Linked DNA regions of Callithrix jacchus. The protein of the gene in region 3 interacts with the protein of the main gene of each other region in a pairwise test. Links are inferred from orthologs where the notes say so. Each region holds a gene or a part of one and is shown on either strand. Other genes may lie near its edges.

What was found.
Region 1: the proteins of GLRX3 (region 3) and E3 ubiquitin-protein ligase TRIM36 interact in binary tests that used the Homo sapiens proteins (3 or more experiments, as listed by UniProt). The two-hybrid records come from large-scale screens. The link is inferred for Callithrix jacchus from reciprocal best matches to the Homo sapiens genes GLRX3 and TRIM36.
Region 2: the proteins of GLRX3 (region 3) and GRN interact in binary tests that used the Homo sapiens proteins (3 or more experiments, as listed by UniProt). The link is inferred for Callithrix jacchus from reciprocal best matches to the Homo sapiens genes GLRX3 and GRN.
Region 4: the proteins of GLRX3 (region 3) and phospholipid scramblase 1 interact in binary tests that used the Homo sapiens proteins (3 or more experiments, as listed by UniProt). The two-hybrid records come from large-scale screens. The link is inferred for Callithrix jacchus from reciprocal best matches to the Homo sapiens genes GLRX3 and PLSCR1.
Region 5: the proteins of GLRX3 (region 3) and RGS20 interact in binary tests that used the Homo sapiens proteins (3 or more experiments, as listed by UniProt). The link is inferred for Callithrix jacchus from reciprocal best matches to the Homo sapiens genes GLRX3 and RGS20.
Region 6: the proteins of GLRX3 (region 3) and CIAPIN1 interact in binary tests that used the Homo sapiens proteins (3 or more experiments, as listed by UniProt). The link is inferred for Callithrix jacchus from reciprocal best matches to the Homo sapiens genes GLRX3 and CIAPIN1.
Region 7: the proteins of GLRX3 (region 3) and MOXD1 interact in binary tests that used the Homo sapiens proteins (3 or more experiments, as listed by UniProt). The link is inferred for Callithrix jacchus from reciprocal best matches to the Homo sapiens genes GLRX3 and MOXD1.

What each region holds. Positions count from the first base shown.
Region 1 is NC_133503.1:94,749,953-94,754,209, reverse strand, and holds part of E3 ubiquitin-protein ligase TRIM36, read right to left. Parts: intron 2,004-4,257; coding exon 1,713-2,003; intron 1-1,712. UniProt on the Homo sapiens protein: E3 ubiquitin-protein ligase which mediates ubiquitination and subsequent proteasomal degradation of target proteins. Involved in chromosome segregation and cell cycle regulation. May play a role in the acrosome reaction and fertilization.
Region 2 is NC_133506.1:71,192,356-71,195,293, reverse strand, and holds the end of GRN (progranulin), read right to left. Parts: intron 2,791-2,938; coding exon 2,693-2,790; intron 2,607-2,692; coding exon 2,361-2,606; intron 2,146-2,360; coding exon 1,912-2,145; intron 1,821-1,911; coding exon 1,590-1,820; intron 1,501-1,589; coding exon 1,363-1,500; 3' UTR 1,053-1,362; downstream 1-1,052. Other genes in the region: protein FAM171A2, read left to right, coding at 1-443. UniProt on the Homo sapiens protein: Secreted protein that acts as a key regulator of lysosomal function and as a growth factor involved in inflammation, wound healing and cell proliferation. Regulates protein trafficking to lysosomes, and also the activity of lysosomal enzymes.
Region 3 is NC_133513.1:123,455,647-123,460,407, reverse strand, and holds the start of GLRX3 (glutaredoxin-3), read right to left. Parts: upstream 3,320-4,761; 5' UTR 3,304-3,319; coding exon 3,212-3,303; intron 1-3,211. UniProt on the Homo sapiens protein: Together with BOLA2, acts as a cytosolic iron-sulfur (Fe-S) cluster assembly factor that facilitates [2Fe-2S] cluster insertion into a subset of cytosolic proteins.
Region 4 is NC_133518.1:38,664,255-38,668,511, reverse strand, and holds part of phospholipid scramblase 1, read right to left. Parts: exon of another isoform or gene 3,817-4,257; coding exon 3,593-3,816; exon of another isoform or gene 971-3,592; coding exon 928-970; exon of another isoform or gene 900-927; intron 1-899. UniProt on the Homo sapiens protein: Catalyzes calcium-induced ATP-independent rapid bidirectional and non-specific movement of phospholipids (lipid scrambling or lipid flip-flop) between the inner and outer leaflet of the plasma membrane resulting in collapse of the phospholipid asymmetry which leads to phosphatidylserine externalization on the cell surface.
Region 5 is NC_133517.1:709,994-713,564, forward strand, and holds the end of RGS20 (regulator of G-protein signaling 20), read right to left. Parts: intron 1,936-3,571; coding exon 1,747-1,935; 3' UTR 920-1,746; downstream 1-919. UniProt on the Homo sapiens protein: Inhibits signal transduction by increasing the GTPase activity of G protein alpha subunits thereby driving them into their inactive GDP-bound form.
Region 6 is NC_133521.1:15,307,569-15,311,825, forward strand, and holds part of CIAPIN1 (anamorsin), read right to left. Parts: intron 4,189-4,257; coding exon 4,115-4,188; intron 2,902-4,114; coding exon 2,786-2,901; intron 1,988-2,785; coding exon 1,906-1,987; intron 1,025-1,905; coding exon 914-1,024; 3' UTR 1-913. UniProt on the Homo sapiens protein: Component of the cytosolic iron-sulfur (Fe-S) protein assembly (CIA) machinery required for the maturation of extramitochondrial Fe-S proteins.
Region 7 is NC_133505.1:139,053,483-139,058,433, forward strand, and holds the start of MOXD1 (DBH-like monooxygenase protein 1), read right to left. Parts: upstream 3,322-4,951; 5' UTR 3,270-3,321; coding exon 3,006-3,269; intron 1-3,005.

The DNA.
Region 1 (4,257 bases), on a different chromosome or scaffold from region 3:
ACTACATGGAAGGCAGGAGTTTGAGGCTGGCCTAGGCAACACAGTGAGACCCACTTCTCTCCCTCTCACACTATATATATATATATGCATGTATTTTTCTCTTTTTTTTTTAACAGGCTGTTAGCAGCTGGACATGGTGGCTCACGCCCATAATTTCAGCACTTTGAAAGCTGAGGTGAGCACCTCACTTGAGGTCAGGAGTTTGAGACCAGCCTGGCCAACACGGTGAAACCTGGCTCTACTAAAAATACAAAAATTAGCCAGGCATGCTGGCCCACATGTGTAATCCCAGCTACTACTCAGGAGGCTAAGGCAGGAGAATTGCTTGAACCCAGGAGACAGAGGTTGCAGTGAGCCTAGATGATGTCACTGCACTCCAGCCTGGGTGACAGAGCCAGACTCCACTTCCAAAAAGAGGCTGCTAGCAAACTACCGCCATTAACCACATGTGAACCAACTATTCTTCCTGCTAATGCCTATTTTCCTGGCATGACTAATTGTGCTTCCTCTCCATCTCAAAAGTCTCCCAGTTTGCACAATAAATTTAAAAGGTCACCCTAGTTATGTATCTTCTCTCAGAAAAAGGAAGACAACCTCAGCACTTCCTCTCCTCCTTCCCACTTCCACTACATGATTGAAAACAGCGTTATGTCCAGGTTTGCTTTTCTTCCACTTTTAGTCAAAAAGACTAGAAAAGGAAGTGGAAATAGCATAAACCATAAAATATTTACTTAATACTTGCAAATTTATCCCAAAACTCTATTGGATTTTATTAAAATTCAAGAAATACAATTTTAGCCAACTTTGTATGTCTGTGTTCCAATTTTTCAAAAGCCACAATGTGCATGAAAAACAAATTGTGCTTTTCTATTTTGAACAAAAAAGGAAAAGTCAGAGTGCAGAAAATATGGGTATATAAGCCACTAAAAAGGCAGGGAGCAGTGGATCTAAAATACAATTAAAGGTATGTCGAAGGCAGAAACTGAAAGGGGAAAACGTTTTCCTCCTAACCAGGCTGAGCGGAACTTTGCTTCTAAATATCCCTTGTTCATGGATACATCATAGTGAGCATCAACAAAACTTTAGTCATTCTCACTCTATAAAAATCTTTCCGTGCTCTATATGTAGTATCAGTGGATTTTTTACTTGGAAAGGGAGGGAATGGTGACTGGGCATGAGGAACTTTTAGCACAGGAGGAAAAGCTATTCACGTAGTTCTAATAAATGGCTTCCGTCCCGATTAGCTGAGAAATGCCAAGTTAAATTTTAAAAATCCAGACAAATCAGAATTAGATTAAATCAAAATTATATTTTAGGATATTACACCAATAATTTTTTAAAAAATACCTACCTAGATCCTGTGTTTTAGAGATTTCCATAAACTAACCAAAACTATAGAATCATATACTTAAAACTTTTAAGGTAGCATTTATGCTATTTTAATCCCAACTTAATAGCTCTGCTCACCCAAATTTCTTCCATGTTTTTCTCTATCTGACATCAGTTAAAACCTAATCCTGTTCTCAGCCTAGTAGGTAAAAATTCAAGTATTCAGTTAATTTCTAAATCCCAGATGTAATAGAAGCTACTTCTCCCGAGTCTTAAAAACAAGAGTTTGTTTCAATGCAGGTCTACATGGAGATATTGTCTAGTCTACTTTATCAAGGTCTCTTGCAACTCTATGATTTTTTTATTCCTGATATTCACCATACCTGGAGCTGGAGGAGTATGAAGAATTAATTCTCTGCTGCAAGGACTACAGATTGAACCCTTGTAAGCTCTTACTCTGAAAGCATAGGTACTACTGTTTTCCAGGTCTTGAATTATTTTACTTGTTCCGCACACTTCAGCCTCATTCCATGACAACATTTCATCATCTCTGTTGATCTTCCGATATTCAAGAACATAGCTATCAGCTTTATCCTTTTCTGGATGGTGCCAATTTATCAATGCATTATTATAAACTTTGCTCTGTTCCTCATTGATCTCTGGCACATCTATGCCTGAAAGAATTATGAAATAAAAAACAATGTTAAAATATTTATGTTTTAAAACCTGTGTTTTTCTCAATAAAAATTATATAAAAGCAATATTTAATGATTTCTATACTGTCCAATAATTTTCTAAATTTATAATACACAAAACTTAAATGTATTAAATATTTTCATATATTTTATATTTAAAAGGTATATTTATATTTGTAAGTGAAAGGAGAAAAAAGAATGAAACAGACAAAAACTGACTCAAAACCACAAGTGAATTTTTTTAGCCACATGCCTTCTACCTACAGAATAACAACCCAGGACTTGAAATTTTTTATCTATATCCTCCCATAAGCAAACTATTATTTTATTTTTTTTATTTTACTTTAAGTTCTGGGGTATATGTGCAGATCTTGTAGGTCTGTTACATAGATATACAAGTCATGGTGGTTTGCTGCCTCCATCCCCCCGTCACCTACATTAGGTATTTCTCCTAATGTTATCCCTCCCCAACTCCCCCACCCCTGCTATCCCTCCCCTAGGCCCCCCCATCCCCCGACAGACCCCAGTATGTGATGTTCCCCTCCCCATGTCCATGTGATCTCATTGTTCAACACCCATCCATGAGTGAGAACATGTGGTGTTTGGTTGTCCTTGTGTCAGTGTGCTGAGAATGGTTTCCATCTTCATCCATGTCCTTGCAAAGGACATGAACTCATCCTTTTTTATGACTGCATAGTATTCCATGGTGTATATGTGCCATATTTTCTTTATCCAGTCTATCATTGATGGCCATCTGGGTTGGTTCCAAGTCTTTGCTATTATAAACAGTGCCACAATGAACATACATGTGCATGTGTGTTTCTAACAGAACAATTTATAATCCTTTGGGTATATATCCAGTAATATTGCTGGGTCAAATGGAATTTCTATTTCTAGATTCTTGAGGAATTGCCATACTGTCTTCCACAATGGTTGAACTAATTTATACTCCCACCAACAGTGTAAAGTGTTCCTATTTCTCCACATTCTCTCCAGCATCTGTTGTCTCCAGATTTTTTGATGATTGCCATTCTAACTGGCATGAGATGGTATCTCGATGTGGTTTTGATTTGCATTTCTCTAATGACCAGTGATGGTGAGCTTTTTTTCATGTTTCTTGACCACATAAATGTCTTCTTTTGAAAAGTCTCTGTTCATATCGTTTGCCCACTTTTTGGTGGAGTTGGTTTTTAATTGTATATTTTTTTGCTGGTTCACCCTAATGATTATTTCTTTTGCTGTGCAGAAGCTCTTATGAACTGTTATTTTAATATTTTAAAATCTAAGTCTGGTAAGAATATCAAACTCTCAATGAATACTTTTTTTTTGAGAAAGAGTCTCTCTTTGTTGCCCACTGGAGTGCAATGGAATGATCTCGGCTCACAGCAACCTCTGTCTCCCAGGTTCAAGTGATTCTCCTGCCTCAGCCTCCTGAATAGCTGGAACTACAGGCACCCACCACCACACTGGGCTAATTTTCTTGTATTTTTAGTAGAGATGGGGTTTTACCATGTTAACAAGAATGGTCTCCATCTCCTGATCTTGCAATGTGCCTGCCTTAGTATCCCAAAGTGCTGGGATTACAGGCATGAGCCACCACACCTGGCGTCTCAATGAATATTATATGACTTCTTTCCATATTCATATTTTATTCGGTAGAGTTGCAAAGCAAATTAATTTTTCTGAATATGATACATATTTTGTAAGAAAATCAGAAACTTAAAAATACATATTAAAGATTTTAAGTAACTCAAAAGTAATTACTATAACCTTTTTGTATAGATCCTGCCAGTGTTTTCCCCCTCAATGGTACACTACTAAATAGATATATCAACATTTAACTGTTTATTTTTGGAAACAGGTTTCTGGTTTTTCACTAAAAGTAAAATGATTAAAAGCTAAATCTTTGTACATATGCATAGTCCTTTCTATAGAGCAATTCCCAAGCTTAACTGCTGGAATCATATGGTAAGAACAATAAGCTATAAAAGCTACACACACATATTTATGTCAAATCACAGAGAAGGACATGAAATAAGAAGCAGAAGTTTCTCTCCTCTCCTTATTCCCCAATGTATAAGCATGTGTGTATATGCTGCATTTATACAACTGAATGTTACGCAGCCATAACGAGATCTGGAAAGTTATCCCAAATAATTTTAAAATTTAAAAAAAAGTTACAAAATAACACAAATAGTATGCCCCCTACCCCATACCCTTTTTCTGTGTTTTT
Region 2 (2,938 bases), on a different chromosome or scaffold from region 3:
GCGGGGGGCGCAGCACCGACGCCAGCCTGGACTCGGGTGTCGACGTGCACGAGGCGCGGCCCGCGCGCCGCCGGCCCCCGAGGGAGGAGCGAGAGCGCGCCGCGCCTCCGCCGCCACCCGCGCCCCCGCGCCTGGCGCTCAGCGAGGATACCGAGCCCAGCAGCAGCGAGAGTCGCACGGGCCTCTGCTCTCCCGAAGACAACTCGCTGACGCCGCTGCTGGACGAGGTGGCGGCGCCCGAGGGCCGGGCGGCCACGGTACCCCGGGGGCGGGGCCGCAGCCGCGGGGACAGCTCCCGCAGCAGCGCTAGTGAGCTGCGGCGCGACTCGCTCACTAGCCCGGAGGATGAGCTGGGGGCAGAGGTGGGCGACGAGGCTGGAGACAAGAAGAGCCCGTGGCAGCGGCGGGAGGAGCGGCCGCTGATGGTGTTCAATGTCAAGTAGCGCCCGCGCCGGGCCTGGCACCGCCCCTTCTGCGCGGGTGCGCGCCCTGGGGGCCTGTGGGGCCCTCATGCGTTGCCCCCAGCCCTAGGCCCGAGAGGGGCCCAGGGGCCTCGGAGCCGTTCCGTGGTAGGTGCCGGGTTGTGTCTTACAAGGGACCCTGTGTCTGCCTCCAAGCCGGGGAGGAGGGGGGTCCAGCCCTCATGGGGAGGTGCCGGGGAGGAGGGCTGGGGGGAAGCAGTGCCTGTGTAGTGTGGCTGTATATAGAAAGCTCTATTGTGGGAAAGCAGGAGGGGTGACCCAGCCTCAGCTGCTAGTGTGAGGGCTGGGAAGGGCGGGGGCGTTCTCTATGGCCCCCTGGGAGGGGTTGGGAGTGCTGCTTGCTGACTAGCCCACCTCTGGGCTACGATGTCACAGGGCTGGTGGCTGGGGCAGCTCTGGGGACTAGGGGGTAATGTGATGACGGCGGCTGTGGGCAGCAGCAAATATAAACTGGTGAGGTTAAGGCCGTGTGTGTCTTTCTGTGGGGAAGGGGAGGGGAGTGCTGGCAGTGGAGCGAACTCTGGCTCTGGGGCCCTGGGGAATGCAGGCAAGGCGGCAAATCAGACGCTGTTAAGAAAGTGTACAAACTTTATTGGAACGCGCACGCGCACACGCACACACACACCCCTGTGAATAGGGAAAAGCACCTGGCCACAGGGTCTACAGAAACGGGGAGGAGATGGCAGCTTGTAATGTGGCTTTTGCCACAACCCCCTTCTGACAGGCAAGGCCTTAGATTGAGGCCCCACCTTCCATGGTGATGGGGAGCTTAGAATGGGGGCCAGGGAGAATTTGGTTGGGGAGAGGTGCTAGGGAGGCCTGAGCAGAGGGCACCCTCCAAGTGGGGTCCTGAGGGCTGCAGAGTCTTCAGTCCTGTCCCTCACAGCAGCTGTCTCAAGGCTGGGTCCCTCAAAGGGGTGTCCCAGTGCAGGGTTTCCCTGCGCAAACACTTGGTGCCCTTGGCTGAGCAATGGAAGCCGGCAGGACAGCAGTGGCGCTGATCGGCACAACAGACACCCTGGATGGTCAGAGTGGAACAAGAGGGTTGGACATGGCGGGACTGGGTCCCTGGCCATACCGAGCCCCAGGGTGGGGGGTGTCACTGACCTGGCGGTAGGGACAGCAGGCCCAGCCCCCTTGGCTGTCTCGGCAGCAGGTCTGGTCATCATGGCAGAAGTGCCCTGCCCCACATTCCACGTCCCTCATGCCCACATGAGGGCCACGGGCCAGGAAGGTGGCAGGCTGGGCAGAGACCACTTCCTTCTCGCAGGATCGGGCCTTCACGTTGCAGGTATAGCCAGCTGGGCAGCAGTGCTGGCGATCCTCACAGCACACAGCCTGGTGGGGAGAGGGTGCAGAATGGCATTATGTTCCTGTCCCCTCGCCGGGCTTAGCTCCCTTATCCAGGGGAAGGCAGGGAGGCACTCACATGGGGCAGCTGGCAGCAGGCCCAGCCCCCGCCCAGGCTCGGGCAGCAGGTCTGTCCAACTGGACAGCTGGTGTGCTGGTCGCAGCCGATGTCTCTGGGGTGGGATCCGGAAGCCCGGCGGGCAGGCATCTTCTCCAGCCCAGCCACGATCTTGGGTCCCCGATGACACTGCCCCTCAACGACACACGTGTAGCCCTGGGGGCAGCAGTGCTGGTGGTCCGAGCAGCAGACAGCCTGGGGGTGGGCAGAAAAGGCCATTCTAGGTAGCCACATGTGGGGCACAGCGTCGAGCCCCTACCTCTCCAGCCCGCCTTTGCTGCTTATAGCATCTCCAGCTGGGGATGAATCTGACAGAGCTGAGTGCCACCTATGGGTGAAGCAGAGGGCAGAAAGCAAGAGGAGTCTGGCCACCACCTTCCCAGGCCAAGGTGCTGTCCTCTCCCATGTACCTCTGGGGCTGAACAGCAGCCCCACTCCCCAGACATGAGTTGGCAGCAGGTATTGGAGGGGGGACAGCTTGTGACGTTATCACAGGGGACGTCTCTCTTCAAGGCTTGCGGGTCCAGCAGGCTGAGGTGAGCTGGGGCCTTCTCCATCCAGGGTACCTGGTGGGTCCCCTGTTCACAGGTACCCTTCTGTGTGTCACACGTAAACCCTGAGGGGCAGCAGTGTATGTGGTCCTCACAGCACACAGCCTATGGCAGACAGGAAGGGCCAGTGGGCACTGGGGTCCAGCTGGCTGCCACAGTGCTCAGTCCACCCACCCACCACCCCTGAGTACCTGTGTAAAAGGGCAGCAGCCCCAGGCCCCCGACTGTAGGCGGCAGCAGGTGTAACCATCTGGGCAGCTCACCTCCATGTCGCATTTCACATCACCCACTGTGAGGAAGGCAGAGAGGACCCTCAGGGGTATCCACCCTTTGCCACCTCCACAGCTGGAACCAGGTGTTGAAGATGGAGGGTACCATTTACGCCACCGTGCAGTGATCTTACTGCCAGGCCCAAAATGGAGGAAAGGGGCCCCTCC
Region 3 (4,761 bases):
CATACAGGTACCCATCACCATGACTGGCTACTTTTATTTTTTTGGAGAGATGGGGTCTCACTATGTGGCCCAGGCTGGTCTCAAACTCCTGGCCTCAAGTCATCCTCCCAAACTGCTGGGATTGCTGGTGTGAGTCACCACAATATTCTTAAATGTTTCCATCTTCACCAAAAAAGTTGCAGAGATTTGCTCCTTCCCCTGAGGCCACACATCATTTCCCATGTGTGCATTTAAACTAGTCACTAAGGAAAGTGTACATTATTTTCTGGGTCATTTCAAGTATGGGCCAGTCGATGTGTTTAAATGTAAATACATCCAAATGGTATTTACATTTAAAATTTTATCCATTTTGGCCACATGCAGTGGCTCACACCTGTAATCCCAGCACATTGGTAGGCTGAGGCAGGCGGATCACCTCAAGTCAGTAGTTCTAGACCAGCCTGGTCAACATGGTGTAACCCCACCTCTACTGAAAATACAAAAATTAGCCAGCTATTATGGCGGGCATCTGTAATCCCAGCTACTCGGGAGCTAAGGCAGAACTGCTTGAACCTGGGAGGCAGAGATTGCCATTGCACTCCAGCCTGGGTGACAGAGCAAGATACCATCTCAAGAAAAAAGAAAAGAAAAAAAACTTTTATCCATTTTGATAGTTTAAGGACTTTTTTTAAAATGAAGCATAAAAACAAACATAAAACACACACCCACAAAACAGTCTTTTCAGGTGATATACATTCAAAACATTTATTTAGGGCAGTTCCAGATAAGAGCTGCTTACTTCAAGAGGCCACTTCTGGTGACTCCTGTGACTGTGCTGACCTGTACTGGATGATTAAGAACTCAGCTTCCAGCAGTGAGTAAACGTTAAGTGTTCCCCCCAACCTCCGCTTTTTTTTTTTTTAACAATTTCCCAGGTAAATGTGAAATGCCTAAGGAGCTGTTTTAAATAACACTTTTAATTTCACCACCCCATAAAGCATTTCTATCCATTAGTAAAGCATTTCTAACCATTAGTAACTCTCATTCCTCCCCATTTCCAAAGGCAACACTCCCATCTCACCTGCACTCCCCATGGCAAAATCATAATACTACCTGTCTCTAATTCAAATTCAGTCAGCAAAATTTCACTCAATTTAGATCAACAGGGCCAGTCATGGGGGCTCAAGCCTATAATACCAATACTTTACAAGGCCGAGGTAGGTGGATCACTTGAGTTGAGGAGTTCCAAAGACCAGCGTGGGCAACAAGGGGAAACCTCATCTCTACAAAAAAATACACGAACTAGCCCAGCATGGTGTTCGCACATGTAATCCCAGATACTCAGGAGGCTGAGGTTGGAGGATCGCTTGAACCTGGGAGGTTGAGGCTGCAGTGAGCCAAGATCACATCACTGCACTCCAGCCTGGGCAACAGAGCAAGAGCCTGTCTCCAAAACAAAATTTACATCAATAAGTATTTTTGGCTGGGCATGGTGGCTCACACCTGTAATCCTAACACTTTGGAGGCTGAAGAGGGCAAATCGCTTGAGTCCAGAAGTTCGAGACCAGCCTGGGCAACATAGCGAGACCTCGTCTCTACAAAAAAATATAAAAATTGGACAGGCACGGTGGTTCTCACCTGTAATCCTAGCTCTGGGAAGCTGAAGTGGGTGGATCGCTTGAGGTCAGGAGTTCGAGACAAGCCTGGCCAAAATGGTAAAACCCAGTCTACTAAAAATACAAAAAATTAGCCGGGTGTGGTGGTGGGCGCCTGTAATCCCTGCTACCTGAGAGTGTGAGGCAGGAGAACTGCTTGAGCCAGGGAAACGGAGGTTGCTGTGAGCCGATACTGCGCCACTGCACTCCAGCCTAGACAACAAAGCGAGGCTCAGTCGCAAAAAAAAAAAAACAAAACACGTAGTGGTGAAAGCAGTGTGGTCCTAGCTACTCAGGAGGCTGAGATGGGATGAGGAGATGGGTGGGATCACTTGAGCCCGGGAGGCAGAGGCTACAGTGAGCGGCGACTGCGCCACTATACTGCAGCCTGGGTGTCAGAGCCAGAGCCCGTCTCAAAAACAACTCCCTACTGAAATAACTAAGGGCCAACATCTCCTGAGTGTTTCCTGCATACCTGGCATGGTATTCATAACGTTTTACGTACATCATCTCATTTAACCCTCACCACAACCCTGAGGTACTAATAGGTGCTATTTCACCGTTGGGAAACTGAGGCTTGGGTACGAAACGTGCCCAGGGGTTACACGGCTAATGAGTGGATCCCGGGCAATCCGACATAAAGTTCCTTTAAAAACCACTACTACAACTAGCGAACGACTGAGTCCCTGGAGTGGTCTACGGTGGGAGGTGGTGCCAATCCCCACGGAGAGGCCACGTGCAGACCTTTCCCTGCAAGCGCGCATGCCGGTGAGCACCGAGCCGTCCGCAGGCTGCCCGTTCAGCGCTTCCAGCACACCCAGAAAACACGTTCTGTGCATTCCCACGGACCTCCCGTGGCCTTCCCCAGGCTCGCCGGCCGGACACCGGGGCCAAAGCCGAGCAGCAACTCTGCCTCCGGCAACAGGTTAAGTCTGAACACCGACTCTGCCCGCTGACCAACAAACTTTCCAGGCTGACTTCAAAAGCCGGCCAGGCCTAGCGAGCGCGGCGGGGCTTCCCAAGCCGCTCTTCCCGCGACAGGGGCGTTCCTGGAGGGAGGCGAAGAGGAAGGGGCCGACGCCGAGCCTGCAGCACCCTCCCGGCGGGCGCAGGAAAGGTGGAGCCCGCAGCCGTGGCTCCCCGCTCCGTGGCGTGGAGGGCCGGGGTCTCGGCGCCGCTCCGTACCCCGCCCCGCTCCGCCCCGCGGCACAGCTGAGTCACCGCCTCTGTCCCGCCGCGGGGCTGCCCAGGCCGGGGCCGGGAAGGTCGCGTCCCTCGGGCTTGGACAGCCGTCGTCGGCGTCGGAGCCGGGGCTGGGGCTGGGGCTGGGGCTGGGGCTGGGGCTGGGGCGAACCTCGCGCCCTGCTCGCTGGCCCGGGGCGGGAAGCCCGCGGCTCCGACCAGTCACCGCCTGAAGCCTGGGGGAGTCCACGGGCGGCGCCGGGCCCGGTCCCCCGAGGCCGAAGCGAGCCGGGCGCCAAGGAGCCGGGCTGGGCGGCCCGCCGTCCCCCGCCGGCCGGGTCCTGCGGCCACTCCTGCCCCGGCTCCTCACTCCTGCCGCTCGCCTCCCCGCTTACTTGGCTTTGAGGCTCAGCAGCTCCTCAAACTGCCCGACTGAGCCGACCTCCTCCACGGCCCCTACAGCCGCCGCAGCCGCCCCCGCCGCCATGCTGCCGCCACCAGACAGGAGCAATCGAGTGCCCGCGGCCGGATGTGGGCGGGGCAGCGGAGCGCAGAACGGCTGCGCGAGGAATCGCCCCGCCCCTGTCTGCACGGAACGCTGCAGAGCCGGAGAGATCCCAGAAGCGGCGGCGGACGGTGGATGCCGCTGGGGGGCTCTGACCCTGCCAGGTCTGGGCACTCCGCTGTGGGCCTCCTGGCTCCCGTGGTTCCTGGCTGTCAGGGTTCCTGGCTCTAGTGACTTCAGGCCGTCAGGGCCCCTGGCTGTGGAGGTTCCTGGCTGTATTGGCTCCTGGCTGTAGGCGCCCTTGGGTATCGAGATTCCTGGCTGTAGAGGCTCCTGGATGTTAGGGTTTTTAGCTATTGTAGGAGTTCCTCGCTATAGTAGGGGCTGCTGGGTGTCGGGGTTCCTGGCTATAGTAGGGGCTGCTGGGTGTCGGGGTTCCTGGCTATAGTAGAGGCTTCTGGGTGTCGGGGTTCCTGGCTATAGTAGGGCCTCCTGGGTGTTGGGGTTCCTGGCTATAGTAGGGGCTGCTGGGTGTCGGGGTTCCTGGCTATAGTAGGGCCTCCTGGGTGTTGGGGTTCCTGGCTCTAAGGGCTCCTGGGTGTCAAGGTTCCTGGCTATACTAGAGGCTCCTGGGTGTCGGGGTTCCCAGCTATAGTAGGGGCTCCTGGCTGTCGGGGTTCCCGGCTATACTAGGGGCTCCTGGGTATTGGGGTTCCCGGCTATACTAGGGGCTCCTGGGTGTCGGGGTTCCCGGCTGTAGTAGGGGCTCCTGGGTGTCGGGGTTCCCAGCTGTAGCAGGGGCTCCTGGGTGTCGGGGTTCCCAGCTGTAGCAGGGGCTCCTGGATGTCGGGGTTCCGGGCTATAGTAGGGGCTCCTGGATGTCAGGGTTCATGGCTCTAGGGGCTCCTGGATGTCAGGGTTCCTGGCTATATTAGGGGCCCCTGGGTGTTGAGGTTCCTGGCTGTAGGGGACCCTGGGTATCGGGGCTCCTGGTGGTAGAGGCTTCTGACTGTTGGGGTTCTTGACTATCAGGGCCCCTTGGTGTTGGGGATCCTGGGTGTCAGGGTTCCTGGCTCTCTGGACACCTGACTCCTGAGACTCCTGGCTTTTGGGGCTCCAGACGTTCCTTCCACCTCCTGTGTCTCCTGGGTGTGTAATAGCGAGAAGGGGCTGGTGGAGGCGTGAGGGTGAGAGGTGAGTGAAAGTGAAGTCAAATGTGTACATTTAGGAAGGTGAAATTATCAAAAATGAAACTGCAAAAAGGTGAGGAAGAACTGAGAGTCCTGGGAACAAAAGTGGTAGGTCTTGAACTTCAACACAGACAGGGTGATTCCAGTTCAGTCCTGGGATCTGAACCTGGGACCCACAGTATGTCTCTCCTCCTCTGCCCCTCCCTGCATGCCACTTCTCATTGCAGCCCCACAGAGCCATCACCCATTG
Region 4 (4,257 bases), on a different chromosome or scaffold from region 3:
AATACAAAGCTCTCTTCCAGAGAGAGCTTTGTTTAGATTTTTAAAAATCAGATAAATTTTAATTGTCTAATAATGTGCATTATAAATAAATTAATAGATGACAATTGTATATTTTAGCCAAATCCATTATTCTGCTTGTACAATTTCTAATTTTTACCAGTGGAAAGAAGCCTGGAGACAGGTGAAAATGAATTTAACATACATATTCCTAAAAACTGGTAGAGTTTTTATTAAACCTTTTATATCTAGAAAGAAAACACTATGGTTCATAAATCTACCCAGGGTCTTCTTCCCCTGGCAGCTATTGTAAAACAGTAATTGTCTTCCTAAGTTTATTCTTGCACCTAAGGAGTCCTGGACCCACGGAAATGTAAGGCCATTCAGCAGGAGTGCTCTTCTATGAAGCCAAGCCTGCAGGCTAGTTGGTCAGCATTCTCCAATGCCACAGTGCCCTGCATCCAACCTGGTATACAAAGGTTTTCTTGGGTTCATCTTAACTCCTAAGAGAAACTGTGGGAACAAATGATAATTTTCCAATATTTTCTCATCCAAACACAAAAGATAACTTACTTTTGAATATGACTCCGTGCCATTCTGAAGTTGATCATAATTACAGAGAAAACAGTTTAAGTAGTAGAAGCCAGATAAAACGTGATGTATGAAGAGAGGAGCAAAATAAAGGTTTTGACTATTTTCCTTTTAAGTTAGTGTCAATATCCCGAGGAAAGTGCCCAGCATAATGGCATTTTACTTTTTGATTCCTAAATTTTAGAAATGAATTGCTGATGTTTATTATTTTGTTATAGTAGATAACCAGTTTAACTGTCCCATATAAGTGAGAGTGTTATATTTGTGAAATCTGATGTTTCTTTATCTGCATAAACTTTTATTCTTTTTAGAAATAAGATTAATACAATGAACACCCACCTTCCAGAAGTTCAATTTGTTGATGAATCAGTATCTGATCTATCTATTATAGGAAAAAAAAAGTGGTAAGTATATGTTAAATGAAGGTTTTTTTAAGCCAACCAAATTAAAATTCATGTATTTATATATTTAAAGTACAGGGAATCAATTATCAACATTTAATAGCTTATATTACTTTTTAGTGTAAAACAAGTTAATATTTTTAATTAATAAAATATTGTGTTTACAATTAACGTGTGGAAATTTAGATCAAATAAAATTGATTTACACTGGAGTAACTTTAAAAACTAGAAAATTGATACAAACGCTCGGTACTTTTATGAAAAAATGCTTAACATCACTAATCACCAGGGAAATGCAAATCCAAACCACAATGAGATATTATTGTTGCCCAATTAAGAATGGCTATTATCAAAAAGACAAAAACTAACAAATAATAGTGAAAATGTGGAGCAGGGAAGATTTGGTGAGAAAGTAAATTAGGACAGCCATTATGTAGTGCTTCCTCAAAAACTAAAATTACAACTACCAAATTGAATATTCAGCAATCCTACTACCATTTTTCCAAAACAATATTTTTTTCAAATTTTTCAAAATTTTCAAAACAAAAATTTCAAAGGAAAGGAAATCAATATGTCAAAGAGGTATCTGCACTGTCATGCTTATTGCAGCACTAGTAGTCAACATGTAGAATCAACCTAAGTGTTCATCAATAGATAAATGAATACAGAAAAATTCTTTTTTTTTTGATATGGAGTCTCACTGTGTCACCCAGGCTGGAGTGAAGTGGCACGATCTGGACTCACTGCAATCTCTGCCTCCCAGGTCCAAGTGATTCTCTACCTCAGCCTCCTGAGTAGCTGGGATTACAGGCGCCTGCCACTTTTTTCTAATTTTGTTAGAGATGGGGTTTCACTGTGTTGGCAGGCTGGTCTCGAATACCTGACCTTGTGATCCATCCACCTCGACCTCCCAAAGTGCTGACATTACAGGCATGACCAGCTGAAAAATTCATTCTTAATACACACAATGGAATAAAAGTCAGCCATAAAAATGAATGAAATTCTGTCATTGGCAGCAGCATGGTGAGCCTGAGGGACATTATGTTAAGTGAAATAAGCCAGGTACAGAAAAAAAAAAAAAATACTGGATGTTCTTATACATGGAAGCTTAAAAAAATTGATCCCATGGAAGTAGAGAGTAGAACAGTGGTTACTAGAAACTGTGAAGGGTAGGGAGGAGGGGTATAACCCGAAGTTGATTAATGAATACAAAATTATGGCTAGAGAGGAGGAATAAATTCGAGTGTTCTATAGCTATGTAGGCTGCCTATAATTAGCAATAATTTATTGTACATTTTCAAATAGCTATAAGAGAGGATTTGGAATGTTCTCAACACTAAAAATGATAAGATGTTGAAAGTGATAGATATGCTAATTACCCTGATTATATTATTACATATAGTCTATGTGCATTAAAGTGCCACACTGTACTCCATAAATATGTACAAGTACTATGTGTCAAATAATTTTAAAAGTAGATAACAATCTTTCTTCTGGAAGAGGCTCAAGAAATATTGATAACTTTTTTAGCCATCAATTTTCTACACGTTTCAAATTTGTATTAATCATACTTAATATCAACCTTTGTCATATGTGATAACATCCTTTATGTATTTTACGACCCTGATTTTTAAAATACCTATTTTTATATATTTCTTGCATGATATAATAATGACTAAAAATTCCTATGATTGTGCCACTTAAGTGCATTGTGAGAAATTAAGTTACTAAACACAGTGCAAGAAAGAAATGATTCATGAAATAAAAACTGGTTGAATATCACAAGAATATTTGTTTTTATTTGTATAAACTGAACACACAGAGTTTCTTGTTTCTATTTGACCTACTTGATTTCTAACACCACATAAATGTTAAACCTCTTATTGCTGAGACTAATTAGAATTTAGTGGAACAAAATCCAGGACTTTTTACTCCTTTATTAATGACATTTATATAATTGGATCTTTCAAAAAACAAAAGCAGCATCATAAAAATGTAGTTTTATTAGTTAAAATAAAAAGGTGTGTCATATTGCACATAAAATATTAACCCCTTGTTTGGTGCCACTTATTGAAACTCAACAATAAACTATATTTAAATTTTATTTCAAATTATAAGGCAATTATTCAGTATTGAGATTAAAGAGCACCATGCCCAGTACCAAAGTTTCTGGATTGAAAAACCATTCTCAACTCTTTAGGTTCTCACCCCAGAGTGAGAGATATAAATTCTCTGGACCTTAGTTTCCTCTTTTGAAAAACGGAACTAACTGTAGCATTATATATCACAGATTTTCTGTAAGGATTAAATGAGTTAATACATGGATAATGTATATGACAAAAACAAGAAAAGAGTACTAACTAAATGTTTGCTATTGGCTATTATCACAGATTGTATTTAGGATCACAGAAAATACTATTTTCTAAGGCATTTGTATTTTGCTTTAAAATTGAACCTGACCTAAAAGAATTACAGTAAACTGTTAGCAGAAAATGTAGTTTTGCCATTTCAGACTTTGATGAATTATTCATTTGTTAATCTGGTTTCTCAAGCTGGAAGCACAGTTCTGTTTTTTTATGAGTATGTTGTGTCCTTCAAATTACCTGACTTAAATATTCTAATCCAGGTGGGCAGTTTAATGGAGTCGGTGGTGCTGGCATCCATGGTACCCCTGCAGCTCCACCTGGCTGATTATACACTGGCTGATTTGGGACAGGAAAGCCAGCTGGCCCAGGACCTGGATGGCCAGCTGGTGGGGGTGGGTAGCCGATCTGGGGCCCAGGGTAGCCGACCTGGGGCCCAGGGTAGCCAGCATATCCTGGAGGTCCTGAAATGCAAAAAAGTGAAATGATATATAACTGCACCAAAAATGGAATCGTCAAGCGTTCTGGGGTTAACCTATCTATCTATATGTTGACATTTCAGCATAGATATCTGTATCCGTGATGTTCAAGATATGCTTTTATCTTTCTGAGAATTTTCAATGAAATATCTGTGGTTGCACAACCACTTCTATTTTGGGTTAGTAGGCTGTAAATAGCCTTACCCATACCATTCAAAACTCAGATGGAAAATATGCTTTAATATCTGAGAAAAATCAAAGTAAATAACCATGATCTAGAGTCACCTACATAAAGATTCTGGCAAGCCTTCAAGAGAAAGAGAGAAGGCATTAGGTAGATGGCCCAAAATAATGGCTTTGAGTCAGCATTTCTAGGGCCAAAGTATCCTATGAAAAAATGATAATTCTGAAATTCTAGCAAATGAC
Region 5 (3,571 bases), on a different chromosome or scaffold from region 3:
GGTGTGCCTTCCCTTGTTCTCAGCATGTCCACAACTGGACTCCTTTGGGGCCGCTCAGTTATGAATACCATCTAGTCCGATGCCCTCCCTGCCCCAACACATATACTTTCTTCTCGTTCTCTAGATTTTGACTTTGGTGCCATCTCCACCAGAATCTTTCCATAACCCTTCAAGACTCCCGCAGCGCTGTTCTCCCCCTGCTGTATTTCTTACTGTCTCAGAGTTCCCACAAACATATCAGTCGGCTTTTACTGAATGTAAACTACTAGAGGGCAGGGCTTATGTCTCATTCACAATTATATCTGTTTTCTTTAGTAAGAAATGAGATTGGAAGACTTGGAATTGAAGCACAGGTAAGGGATTGACACCTCAAAAACGTGGAAAAAACACATTGTTCTCTGGGACTGGACTGAGGGAGATGAGAAGAGACACTGATCTATACATGTTTATAGGTTGTATGGGAAGTTGAGGAGGCTTAGGGACACAATTTGCATAGTAGAGTAGGAGGTAAAATGGTTTTATGAGAATGAAGGAGAGGGGCTTGGCTTTGGGGCTTGAATTGAGTCATGAAGATACAGGCAGGCTATAGAGGGGCCAGGCAGGGTTGGACCCAGAGGAGAGCCATCCCCTGTGAGGGCGGGAGTGCAGCACCACCTCCTGCAACATAGCATCTCTCCCACTAGTCAGAGTGTCCCAGATTTTGAATGTTTCCCATTCATTGTAGAGATGGGTTTCTTCAGGATGGGCTAGGTCTACCAACCAGTATTTTTACCTGTAAGCTATGAAGTTCTTTTTGCCTCTGATAAAAATAGTGGGATCTAAGCACAGAATCCTAGTCTGGGAGCTAAAAGATATGCTGCACGTATCCCTACTTTCTTAATCTTATGTTTCCCAAATAGTACATATGGAAAAATAAAGATTGAGATAAAATTATTGTGCTTTATTTCTTTAAAGAATGAAAATGCCCATATTTCTTTCAATAAAAATGGAAATATGCTTATTTGACAGTTTTGTGAAGATGACCAAATTGTGATTTTAAAAATTCATTCTTTAGGTTGGCAAATTCTGATAATAAAATAATAGTAATTCTTTTCTACAAAAGAATTTTCTAAGCACTGCTTCTGTTACCAGACACTTGAGACTGACCCACCTCAGATCAGTGCTCTACATTAACCACAGAGACCCACACACGCACACATATGTATCTCCATACAGACATACTCTAAGATCACGCGGAATGCCATTTTTACATGTAGTGGTCACATCTTTATGAACTGTGAATTTGGGCCCTGTAATGGCACTGATAAGTGAAGTGTTCAAACCAAGCTTAATGGACGGAAGAGGTGATTGAGAAACACCTGAATGTCTTCTCTTGGGGGAACAGTAACCAGTTACCAAAGTCATGCAAAACAGAAGTGGCTCCCTTTGCTCTGGTGGATGCACCTGCCCTGGGCAGCAGGGAGCCTTCTGTGTAGCCTTCACCACTGACCACATGCTAGAGTTACTGCAAATGCAAATACGCTTTCTACAACAGCCCTGTCCCTTTCTCTTTTCCCAAAAGTATCAGTAAAGGTGGCTGCAATTTACATTGTGAATATATAGCAGTCTGTTGAGGGAATCATCTGTTATTAAAATAGCCTGAGTATTACTCCAGCAGAAGATGCTACAGCCTCTAAATTCACTGTGCTAGATGTAGCCCATGAGTTCTTTTATTATTTTATTAATAATAAATATATTTGAAAAATCCTATGCTTCAATGGATTTCTCCGATAAGGACTGAAGCAAGTCCTTATAGACGGTAGAGTTCATGAATCGAGGATACGAGTCTCTGTGCATCAGGGTGTAAATCTGAAGTTGAGCATCGTCGAATATGTGTTGGGACGGCTCCACCATGTTTCTGTTGATGACTTCTCTCACCCGGGAGTCTAAGCTCACCTGCCGACAGAAAGGAGTAGGATGTGTATTAGAGACTTCGGTTGTAGCTCCATCCCAAACTCCCAGAGCTTGTGTTCTTGTTTTCTTGAGACAGCCTCACCCTCGCCCAGGCTGGAGTACAGTGGTGCTATCTTGGCTCACTGCAACCTCCACCTTCTGGGTTCAAGGAATTCTCCTACCTCAGCCTCCTGAGTAGCTGGGATTACAGGGACCGCCACCATGCTTGGCTAGTTTTTGTATTTTTAGTAGAGACAGGGTTTCGCCATGTTGGCTAGGCTTGTCTTGAACTCCTGACCTCAGGTGATCTGCCCACCTCGGCCTCCCTAAGTGCTAGGATTACAGGCGTGAGCTGCTGCACCCGGCCTTGTTGTTTTTTAAATATCCCAAACCAAAGGAGATCGTCCCAAAAATCCAAACCCCCGAAAGAGAAACCAAAAGCATCATCAACGTGGTTCTCAAAGGCCAGTGGCATCAGTAGGTTCGAGGGCTTGTGAGATAGTAGCTGGGTCCCACCCCAGATTTAGGCGGTATAGAGGTCTCCCTGATTGCTTATTTCCCACAAGTTCTCACTGATGCTGGTGGGGCTCACACTGCTGCTTTGTAGAAAACAGGCAGCACAGACTGCCCCTTGCTCATTTCCTTGTAACATGGGGGCTGACGCCTGAAGGCCCAGACTTCCCCTGCTGGTCCACAGTGGCAGGTCTCAGGATGAGTGCTGGCCTGCCCGGAGGGTTGGGCACGTGAAGTGGACACTGACTCAAAATCCTGGGAGGTTCCAGTCACAGGGCCTGAGGGCAGATGATCCCAGAGTTTAAATTCCAGCCCTGTGACTGCATAGTTACAGGGCCTTGGGCAAGGTAAACTCTGTGTCCTAGTGAACTCCTCCCCTGAGGTGGGGATGATGATGAAGATGATGATGATAGTGTCAATGTTTTTGGTGATCTAATGACAAAGTGCTTGGATTTCACTAACCCCATAGGAGATGTCGCCTATTATCGCTCTGATGTTTGGCTCTTCCTAGACAAGACCGTCCCATAAACCAGAGCAAACGACTGGGCTCAAACTGTTCCTGTAGGACACTAGACAAATGAGTCTAGGCCAAAGGTGCAAACATGAACTCACAGGTCTCTTCTGCGGAAAGAACCTCAGCTGGGCCATCCCTGCACAGGCTGGCCATGATAGTTCCAATGCCACGCAGTGCTTTCATAAAAAAACTGAAAATAGGCCGAGCTTTTTCAGCTTATATACAGGTGGCTTACACCTGTAATCCCAGCACTTTGGGAGGCCAAGGCAGGCAGATCACGAGGTCAAGAGATTGAGACCATCCTGGCCAATATGATGAAACCCCGTCTCTACTAAAAATACAAAAATTAGCTGGGCACAGTGGTGCGTGCCTGTAATCCCAGCTATGCGGGAGGCTGAGACAGGAGAATCATTTGGACCCAAAAAGGCAGAGGTTGCAGTGAGCCGAGATCGTGCCACGGCACTCCAGCCTAGTGACAGAGTGATACTCTGTCTCAAAAAAAAAAAAAAAAAAACCCAAAAAAAACAAAGACTGAAAATGTAATTACTTAAATCATTAAATACTGGCTTATGTGATCTATCTTTCCAGGTGCATATATCCACCTTCCTCCTG
Region 6 (4,257 bases), on a different chromosome or scaffold from region 3:
CCAAATATTTGGCAAGATTGATCCCAAGTCCATACGGGTGGGTAACAAGAACAAAGGGGTCTCTGCTCAGAGACTTATTGTTGGTTCAGAGGTCTGCCTTGCTTCCCTCTAAATGCTCACCAACCTGGGCTCTTCTAAAGTGGGCTGACAGGCCCTATTCTAAGCGCAGCACTAGCCCCATTTGTGTGTAACACTAAGTTCTTCCAATGGTCCAAACTGAGCGTGGATGACTATCCAACATCACACACAAATGTACATCCCCTCTGTTTACAAGACATGCAGAATCTCAAGATATCTCAAGATATGCAGCAAGTTTAATACCTGATGGTTAACAGAAATGACAATAAAACACAGATGCAATGCCACAGTAAAATGGGGTTGGGGGGTGGAAGGGGGCAGAGGGACACTGAATATCATCACAGCAACCAGTGAGTGACTCCTCTGGTGCCCTGAGGAGGTCATAAGACACTTGACTTGTGTCACAAAGAATGGAATAAACTAACAACTCGGAAAGACAAGCAGGTGGCAGCATTGCTGAGATGAGACTCCGGGCAGGGGCCTGGAGCTCTGTCACAGAGTGTTAGTGCTCAAGGATGTCTGGGCTCAAGAGTGTTCTGGTCAGCATTTTAACAGAAGGACTTCTTCAGGACACTCCCTTCTTTTAACATGAGGTGAAGAAACCCAGCCCATTCTGGGTAACCAGGACCCATAATACCTTGGTGTCTTGATACAGAGCAGCACTATACACCACTGTGCCCACAAGCCAGCTTCACTCTGTCTGCTAAGCACCCACTCTGCAAACAGATCTCAAACAGAGTGAACAAATCCAGAGGAGGCGGGAGGAGCCACAGTGGTGGGATGTGAGAGACAGGAGTTGGCTGAAGGAGCAGATGTGTCCCATGTTGGGTCCCTCCTAGGCATCATGAAGATTGCTATCGCTCAGAAGCACCTTTTCCCCAGGTTTGAAGGCTGGCATCCCAAGGTAGGGGCAGCTGGCACAGCGGAAGGCATCACCCAGGTAGCACTGGAGAGAAAGAATGGGGAAGGGTCAGCTTATCCTAGGCATACCAGCCAGAAGAAAGAAATTCCTAATTTCATAATGTAGCCACAGTGGCCTGAAGGAAATAGCTGAGTATGTTTGCAGGTCCAACTGAGACTCAAATACTAAGAGTTTTCAAGATTTCTGGTTTTGTGAAAAACTATAGTCAAGAATAAGTTCCTTAGGAGGCCATAGTTCATACACACATATATGTATATATACATACACGTATATCTACATACATACATATATATGTATATATACATTTTGTGTGTGTGTGTGTGTGAGACAGAGTCTCCCTCTGTCACCCAGGCTTGAGTGCAGTGGTGTGATCTCAGCTCACTGAGACCTCCACCACCCAGGTTCAAGTGATTCTCCTGCCTCAGCCTCCCAAGAAGCTGGGATTACAGGCATGCACCACCATGCCTAGCTAATATTTTTGTATTTTCACTAGAGACGGGTTTCACCATGTTGGCCAGGCTGGTGTGGAACTCCTGACCTCAAGTGATCCGCCCGCCTTGGCTTCCCAAAGTGCTGGAATTACAGGCATGTGTCACTGTGCCCAGCCATAGTTCTATATTTTATGCCGTTCCAAACACAACCAACCTCGGTTAAATGTCTAACTCTGGAGTAGAAAGAAATGGGCCACAAATAAAACACAAGACCCTCCCCAACGGACACATGCACGCTAACCCACTCTCACCCTCAGGAGACAGCCTTTCTCCCCATTACTACCTATGTTCATGTGCTCATGCATTTGTCTGTTCCTAAAATATGTGAGGTAGAGCTTGTCTGTGTTTAGTGTAGAAGGATGCCTAATCCCCCTGGGGGTTTTGTGAATGCTGAGGAATGATCCTTCTATTTACATTTCCACAAGCCGACTTGGGTTGGGAGCTCATCTGTTCCCTTGACTTCTCTCTTTCCAGTTCTTCAGCAAGGCCACAGGTGCTGTGGGAAAATCAGTGACTAATGAATGAGAATTACCACCACCCAGAAATCCCAAATCCTAACAGTGCCAAAATGTGCTGTAAGCCTTTTCTCTTCACACTCGGTGTCATAACTCAGAAGCCTATGGGCCAGGCAGATAGCAGCAATGTGAGAGGCTGCTGAGGGAGACAGGAGGGAGAGGAGGATGGGGGGAAGTAGAGGGTGTATGCTCTGTCTACAGAGGGTGGCCACTACTCAGCTTCAGCTGGTTATCATATTGGGTAAAGTGGACCCAGTTTGCCATATTTTCCAAATTCAAGAACAGCAGGGAAAAAAAAATCTGTGTTTTCACTTAAAATCTCCTGATTTGTAAATGCTGGCAGCTTTTACATTTTAAAAACACTGATGATTAAACAAGCCTGAACACCACAGATTAACTTTCTACCATCCTTCCCAACCATTTATAAAAACAAATGTGAAAACACCAAAGTCTCGCTCTGATGCCCAGGCTGGAGGGCAGTGGCACAATCATGGCTCACTGGTAGGGTTCTGAGGGAGAATGAGATTAAGCACAATTACGGCTCATTGTAGCCTCGACCTCCTGGGCTCACGATCCTCCTGTCTTTGCCCCAAGTAGCTGGGACCACAAGCACATACGACCATGCCTGGCTAATTAAAAAAAAAAATTATTTGTAGAGATGGGCCCCCTGTGTTGCCCAGATTGGAAAATGTATGTTTTAAAAATAGTAAAGCATTGCAATTACTTGAGCATGAGGCCACTGGAGGCAGCATCACAGGCTCCAGTCACCGGGCACTTACCAGTTCTTGCAGGCCTTCCTCTTTTTCCGTTCCCCACAAGCAGCAGCCCGCAGGGAAGCTGGATCTGGCTTCTTCAAATCTTCTGGATCCAGCAGCTCATCTGAGTCAATGAGATCCTGGAGAGTGTTAAAGCAACGAGTGACACAGTTGTGGTTTCTGCTAATGAAAAGCTAAAGTGACCACAGGCTTCGAGAGGAAACTTAGAATCCAGGGTAAAGAAGGTGTCCACCCTGTCCTTCTTTTGGCTGATCATAATGTTCAACCTGACCACATGCCCAAGAGGCCAACAGTGAGTTAAACTACATCCGCAGACTATGCACTAGGTTGTGAAGGAATTGGGAACAAATTTACTTGAGAAAAGCCTGTAAGACTGGCCAGCAAATTGTCAAGAATGTTGGGGGTGGGGGACAGGAGTGGGGAGAAGAGAGAGAGCAGGCAGAACAAAGAGAGAAGTGTCTATGACGAGTCATGTGAAAAATGGAATATCTTCCATATAATCCCCGAGAAAAATCAAATAATTATATATACCTTTATGTAATTCTTTGTAAATGTGTAGACACTTAGTCTGTAAACTCTTTGAGAGCATGAACCTGACTTATTTTGCTCACTACTCTAACTTCAATAGTAGAAGTGTAGAAATGAAGAACTTTATTATAGATATGGCAAAGATGGAAAATATTGCTTTTTAAAGCATGGAACATTCAGCAACTTGCCCAAACCAAGAGGCCAATAAAACAATTTAAGCTGACAAAATATTTTCAGGTTTACACAAACCCCCGAGAGTTTTTAACATATCACATGAAGTGAGAACAAGAAATCATGTGGGGAAAAAGAGATGCTAAAAAATTTAAAATGCCACCAATATGGACAGGCATTGTGGCTCACACCTGTAATCCCAGTACTTTGGGAGGCTGAGGCGGGCAGATCACTTGAGGTCAGGAGTTTGAGACCAGCCTGGCCAACATGGTGAAACCCTGTCTCTACTAAAAATACAACAATTAGCTAGGTGTGGTGGCATGTGCCTGTAATCACAGCTACTTGGGAGGCTGAAGCAAAAGAATCACTTAAACTCAGGAGGCAAGAGATTGCAGTGAGCCAAGATCACGCCACTGCACTCCAGCCAGGGTGGCAGAGCAAGACTCCAACTCAAAAAAAAAAAGCCACCAACATGGAGTTTCCTTTTAAACCAAAGATGTAAGTGACAGGAATATTCACAAATCTGGGCTTTAAATACGTTCACACCGACAAGTCCAGAAAGATCACTATAGCTGTTCACACCGAAACTGAGGCTTGAAAGAAAGCAATCAAGTGACCATGGTGCCAGCTCACCATGCTGTCGTCCTCCATATCATTGGCTGAGAGCGTCCACAGCTTGGCAGCAGCAGGGTCCACAGCAGGCTTCACTGAGTCCAAGCAATAAAAGAAAAAGAGCTCCATAAAAACAGAAACTGTTAACTACAACATACCTAAGT
Region 7 (4,951 bases), on a different chromosome or scaffold from region 3:
GGCCTCCAGCCACTCTTAGATTTCTTTTCTGACATCTACAGACATTTGGGCTTGTGACAGTAAGCCAATGATTCTCTACCTGATTGATAAACATTTATACTTATATAGTTCTCAAGGAGTTAACACCCTTTTGAGAAGAAGAATTTCATATAATGGGGCAAATAAAAATCAGAATAATTTTTAAAACGTGAAGTCTTAGCTTACAATTAAATTTAAAAGGGCAAAATAAAATATGCAAAAAAAGCCACATGATGAGGTGACTAGGATAGCAACTTAGGTTTTATCATACACCCTGGTATCACTGTCTGTCCAACTCTTACTGGCTGCTATGCATATATTGATGCCCCAGGAGCCGATTATTTTTGTGTCATTGTTCTATATAAATGTTGTTCTCACCGGGAGCAAAATTACACAAAATATAAATTCTACTAATAGAATCACATATGCTACATTTAAGAATCCTATTTATGGCCAAGCAAGGTGGTTGACACCTGTAATCCCAGCACTTAGAGAAGCTGAGGAAGGTGGATCACCTGAGGTCAGAAGTTTGAGACCAGCCTGGCCAACATGCTGAAACCTCATCTCTACTAAAATACAAAAATTAGCTGGGTGTGGTGGCCAGCACCTGTAATCCTAGCTACTTGGGAGGCTGAGGCATGAGAATCACTTGAATCCAGGAGGTGGAGGTTGCCATGAGCCAAGATAGTGCCAATGCCCTCTAGCCTGGGCGACAGAGTGGGACTCTGTCTGAAAAAAAAAAAAAAGAAAAAAGAATACTATTTACTTTTTGATATAGTTACTGAAAATACCTTTCTCACACTAATGTATGAAGAATCTTAAATAAATAGTTTCTAGAGAGAAGATTGAATTTTGAGTACTGTAAAATTGAATCATTCAGTCTGGATGATAAAAATTGAAATTGATTTATTTTTTTCATTTATAGTATTTGGTGTATTTCATCTTATTAAACAGATTTTAAGTAAACTGTCTTTCCATTTAATTGGATAGCATAATTTTTAATGCATTTTGTATGCCCTAAAATGAGTACAATGTTTATAGAAATGGAAAGGTAAAAATATGTCAGCCAAATAAGAAAATGATCATCCTTTACATGTAAAAATAATTTTATTTTCATAGGAATAAAAATGAAGGGGAAATCCTATTTATTGCTCCTTAAGTATATTGGGAATGCAGCCATTCATAATTTATCTCATAGTGATGTGTATTCACTAATTACTTTAAGAAAATTTCTATGTTTCAAAATCAATCTAACAAGTACTTAATTAAGTCTTATGCAATCTTTTACCAACAGGGTGAAAACATTGTAGTTTAACCAAGTTTATCCTTTTGGTGGACCTATTATGGCATGTTGAATCAGAATTCTACTCATGGCCTTTCATTTGACATACAAGGGTGAGCTTTCTAGAAATGCTACTCTTTGGGGGAAAATAACATGGAGTTAACAATCAAAGTGTGTCCCATTTTAATAGTAACATAGAGCTCTCATGCTCCCTTTTGTAGAACATGCAAGGACAGTTAAAAAGGCATGCTATACTCCTCACCCTAAACAAACAGCTAAACTTTATATTTTTAGAAAACGTTGGCTCAAATCGGTATTTAAATAAGGGATTGTCTACTTTACAACACAGGAGAATAAGTCATTCCCCTAGTGAGGCCTGCGTTTGTGGTCAAATCCTTGGTTCACAAAGTTAATGTCTGAGATGCTGCACCAGGAGAAAATTTATGCATCAGTGACTTCAGCAGAATGCAATCCTCATAAACTTTATTTTACTGGAGTTGCAAAATTACTTCTTTCGGGGAAGAAACGATTAATTTGTGAAAAAAATAGATAATAGACTGATTTTGAACTTTTTATTGTTGTCACTTTATTTCCTGCCAGAGTTAACGGCTCAGTGCCAGAACAGGGTTCAAATTTGATGGCATATCTCAGTCTAAACGGTGTGGAAATCGAACTCAGAAGTTAGGGATAAAATCACTAAGAAATGCACTCTAAATCCACCGAGAACACTGATTTTAATACTATCAAAGCCTTAATGCAATGCCAGAGCAATTAGGAGTTTTGACTTTTGCTAAAAAAACTTTTAGCAAAGGGCAGTATGTTTGGATGTAATTTTATAAGCAACAAAGCGTGTACATTCACCGCCATCCAAACGCTGGTCACGGTTAAACAAGGATGTCCAGGAAACCTAACCACCTAATCATTTTGGTCATCTCACAATCTTTTTCTCCTTTTTCTATTTAGTAAGGCGCCACCTATGAACCGGCAAGGTGGTTACTTAGGCTCCTTCAAAGTAAATCAGCAGCGGTCAAATTAACTTTGTTGGTTATTAAAGTAAGCGAAAGTGTTGCCACTTCACAGGAGATTTTGCACGGGTACCTTCGATTTTAGTCTCTAAATGTGGCTTCCTGAACAGCTCTCGGAATAGCAAAGTCCCTAAGTGATTCTTAGGGACCTTTTCCTGGAGAATGGTGTAGCTGTTATCAGCCCCGCGCCTGGGGGCTCCAAAATAGCCACGATTTGGAAAGTTCTGAGATTCCCACTCCTAGACAGCAAGTCCGCGAAGTACTAAAGCGCTCTGTCCCCTCCCTTCTCTGCGAGCTGTCCCGTTAGATCCGCAAAGCCAAAGCCGAGGTCCTTCTCCCTTCCCGTCAGGGATGAAGGGGAATGCGTTGCAGGTGTGTAGGCGGGGGTAGGGAGGTGTCTCTTAAGTGGGGCGCTGGGGACAGGAAAGTGTTCAAAGAAGGAAACCTGCCTGGGGTCACTCGAGCTCGGCTTCCCGGGGCGCCCAGCCTCTGCGCGCCTTCGGCGGCTCGGGGAGCGCAGGCGCTGCCAGCGGAGGTGAGAGTGAGCCCGGCCGGGGGCTCAGGGCTGCTCCAGGCGAGACCGAGCTGCTGGCCCTGGGGACGCCCCGCACCTGCGCCCTCGCTGGGGTCGGGACGGGACGGGGCTCTGCCGGGCGGGCTCCGGGAGGAGACGCGCTTACCTGGAGGTAGGGCCGCCCGTGGGCCACACCGCCCACGACGATGTCGGCGGACGCCATGGCCCCAGTGGGCGAAAAGCCGAAGCCCACGTATCCCGCGGTGCGCACCTGGAGGCGGAAGGCGATCTGGCTGCCCCGCTGGTCCCAGCCCAGCCAGTACTTGCCCTCCGAGTCGAGGAGGGTCCAGTGCGAGTAGGTCCTGCCCGAGGCCCCCGCCGCCGCCCGGGGGAGCAGCCCCCACAGCAGGAGCAGCGGCCAGCAGCACATCCTCGGGCGCCTCCTGCCCGCCGGCACCCCGCTCCCGCCGCTGGGGAGCAAGGAGCAGGACGAGGAGCGGCGGCGGCGAGCGGGAGCCCAGGGACCGCCCCTCGGGCCGGACGCGCGCCCGCCCGGGAGGGGCAGGACCCGCTCTCCCTGCCCCTGGCGGCCGGCAGGGCGCGCCGCGTCCAGTCCCGTCCCGTTCAGTCCCGTCGGGTCCCGGCCCTGCCAACTCCTACCCTGCCCGGCCCTTCCCTCGGATCCACCTGCCTCCCCAACCCCTGACTTGGTCCCCGAGGTCGGGGCTGGGTGGGAAGGAAAGCGAGGGGCTTCCCGGAAAGAAAGGGAGGCAGACGCCGAGAGAGGAGGAAAGGGGCCAGAGGCAGAGGGAAAAGGAGGAGGGCCAGAGAATCCTAGAGCGGGAAGAGCGTGAGCTCTGCGGAACGTGGGCCAGACGTTCCCGGGAATAGAATGGAAATTGACGAGAGAGGGCAAGTTTAGCTTGGAGTGGGGGAAATTGAGTGAGCAAAAGGGGTAGTCTGGAGTGCGATGGAGAGAAAGCCCCCGTCGAGGGTAACCTTCACAAGTCTGTATCCGTTGCTTTCCAGAGCCTTTGTTTCCAGTGACGTCCCTACTTCCATGGAGGGACCCGGTTCACCTACCCCCGAGGATTTCTCTCACTCTCCCACCCGGCGTGGCCCCAGAGCTTGCTCCACACGACAAGAGTTGGAGCCCTGGCGCTTGCCTTCACCTAGCTTTGGTTTGGCGTTGACGAAACAAAGTCAGCCAAACTACTTTGCCATCAGCAGAGGTGGTCAGGGTTGAATTGTCATTTGAGAGCTATATTTAATTTAACATTCTCTTTTCTTGCTATTCCAAGTTCTGGCCATAACCATGTTTATCAAAAGTTTGTTTTGTTTTGGTTTTGCCTCTACCTTTGACCTCTGTCTTCAGAATGCTAAATACAATATGGCCACTAAAGTTTACCTTGCCTATTTATTTATTTATTTATAATCTGCCAAGTTTCCAAAAAGTTCGAAAGTTTGTATTTATGAAAATACAAACAATACAAAATAGAAAAACAAATAAGAGAGACTATCAGATGAAAAATACGGGTTAGTAGGGCAGGCTCTGCACAAGCCACCTACAGCCCCATTCTCTCTCCTCACCTCATATTTCAGCCTGTTTTTCCCCTGCCTATCTTTTCCCATAACTTTTCAGAAATTACCGTCATGCATCTAATCTATTTTCTTCTAAGAATACAGGAATATTTGACCAAGTCTGGAAGGTAACCTGTAGGTGGATCTGCTTGCCAAAGTGCACAGAGGCTTGCCTGGGAAGGGATTTTTCCCAAGGAGAGTTTGGATTAAGGTCTGCAGGGCTGGCCAACGGCAATAGGCCAGGATCAGAGAAGAGTGATGTTGGAACCTCGAAATAAAATGAGAAATAAAAGAGCTTCCAAAGCCTTACACAAACTGGACATGGAGACTATGAAATACAGGTAGCTGGTGCCTCACCTCCACCAGGACCCACCAGACAAATGTCGAGGGCAGCAACAACCATACAGCAATGTAAGGGTGACGACTTTGGAATTGGATTTCTCCAAGCACCAGGGACTTGGCTTCAGCCATGAAGAAAAGAAGGGGATATGGAGAAAAAGAGGAACAAAATAGGGGGAATGGAGTCCCAGA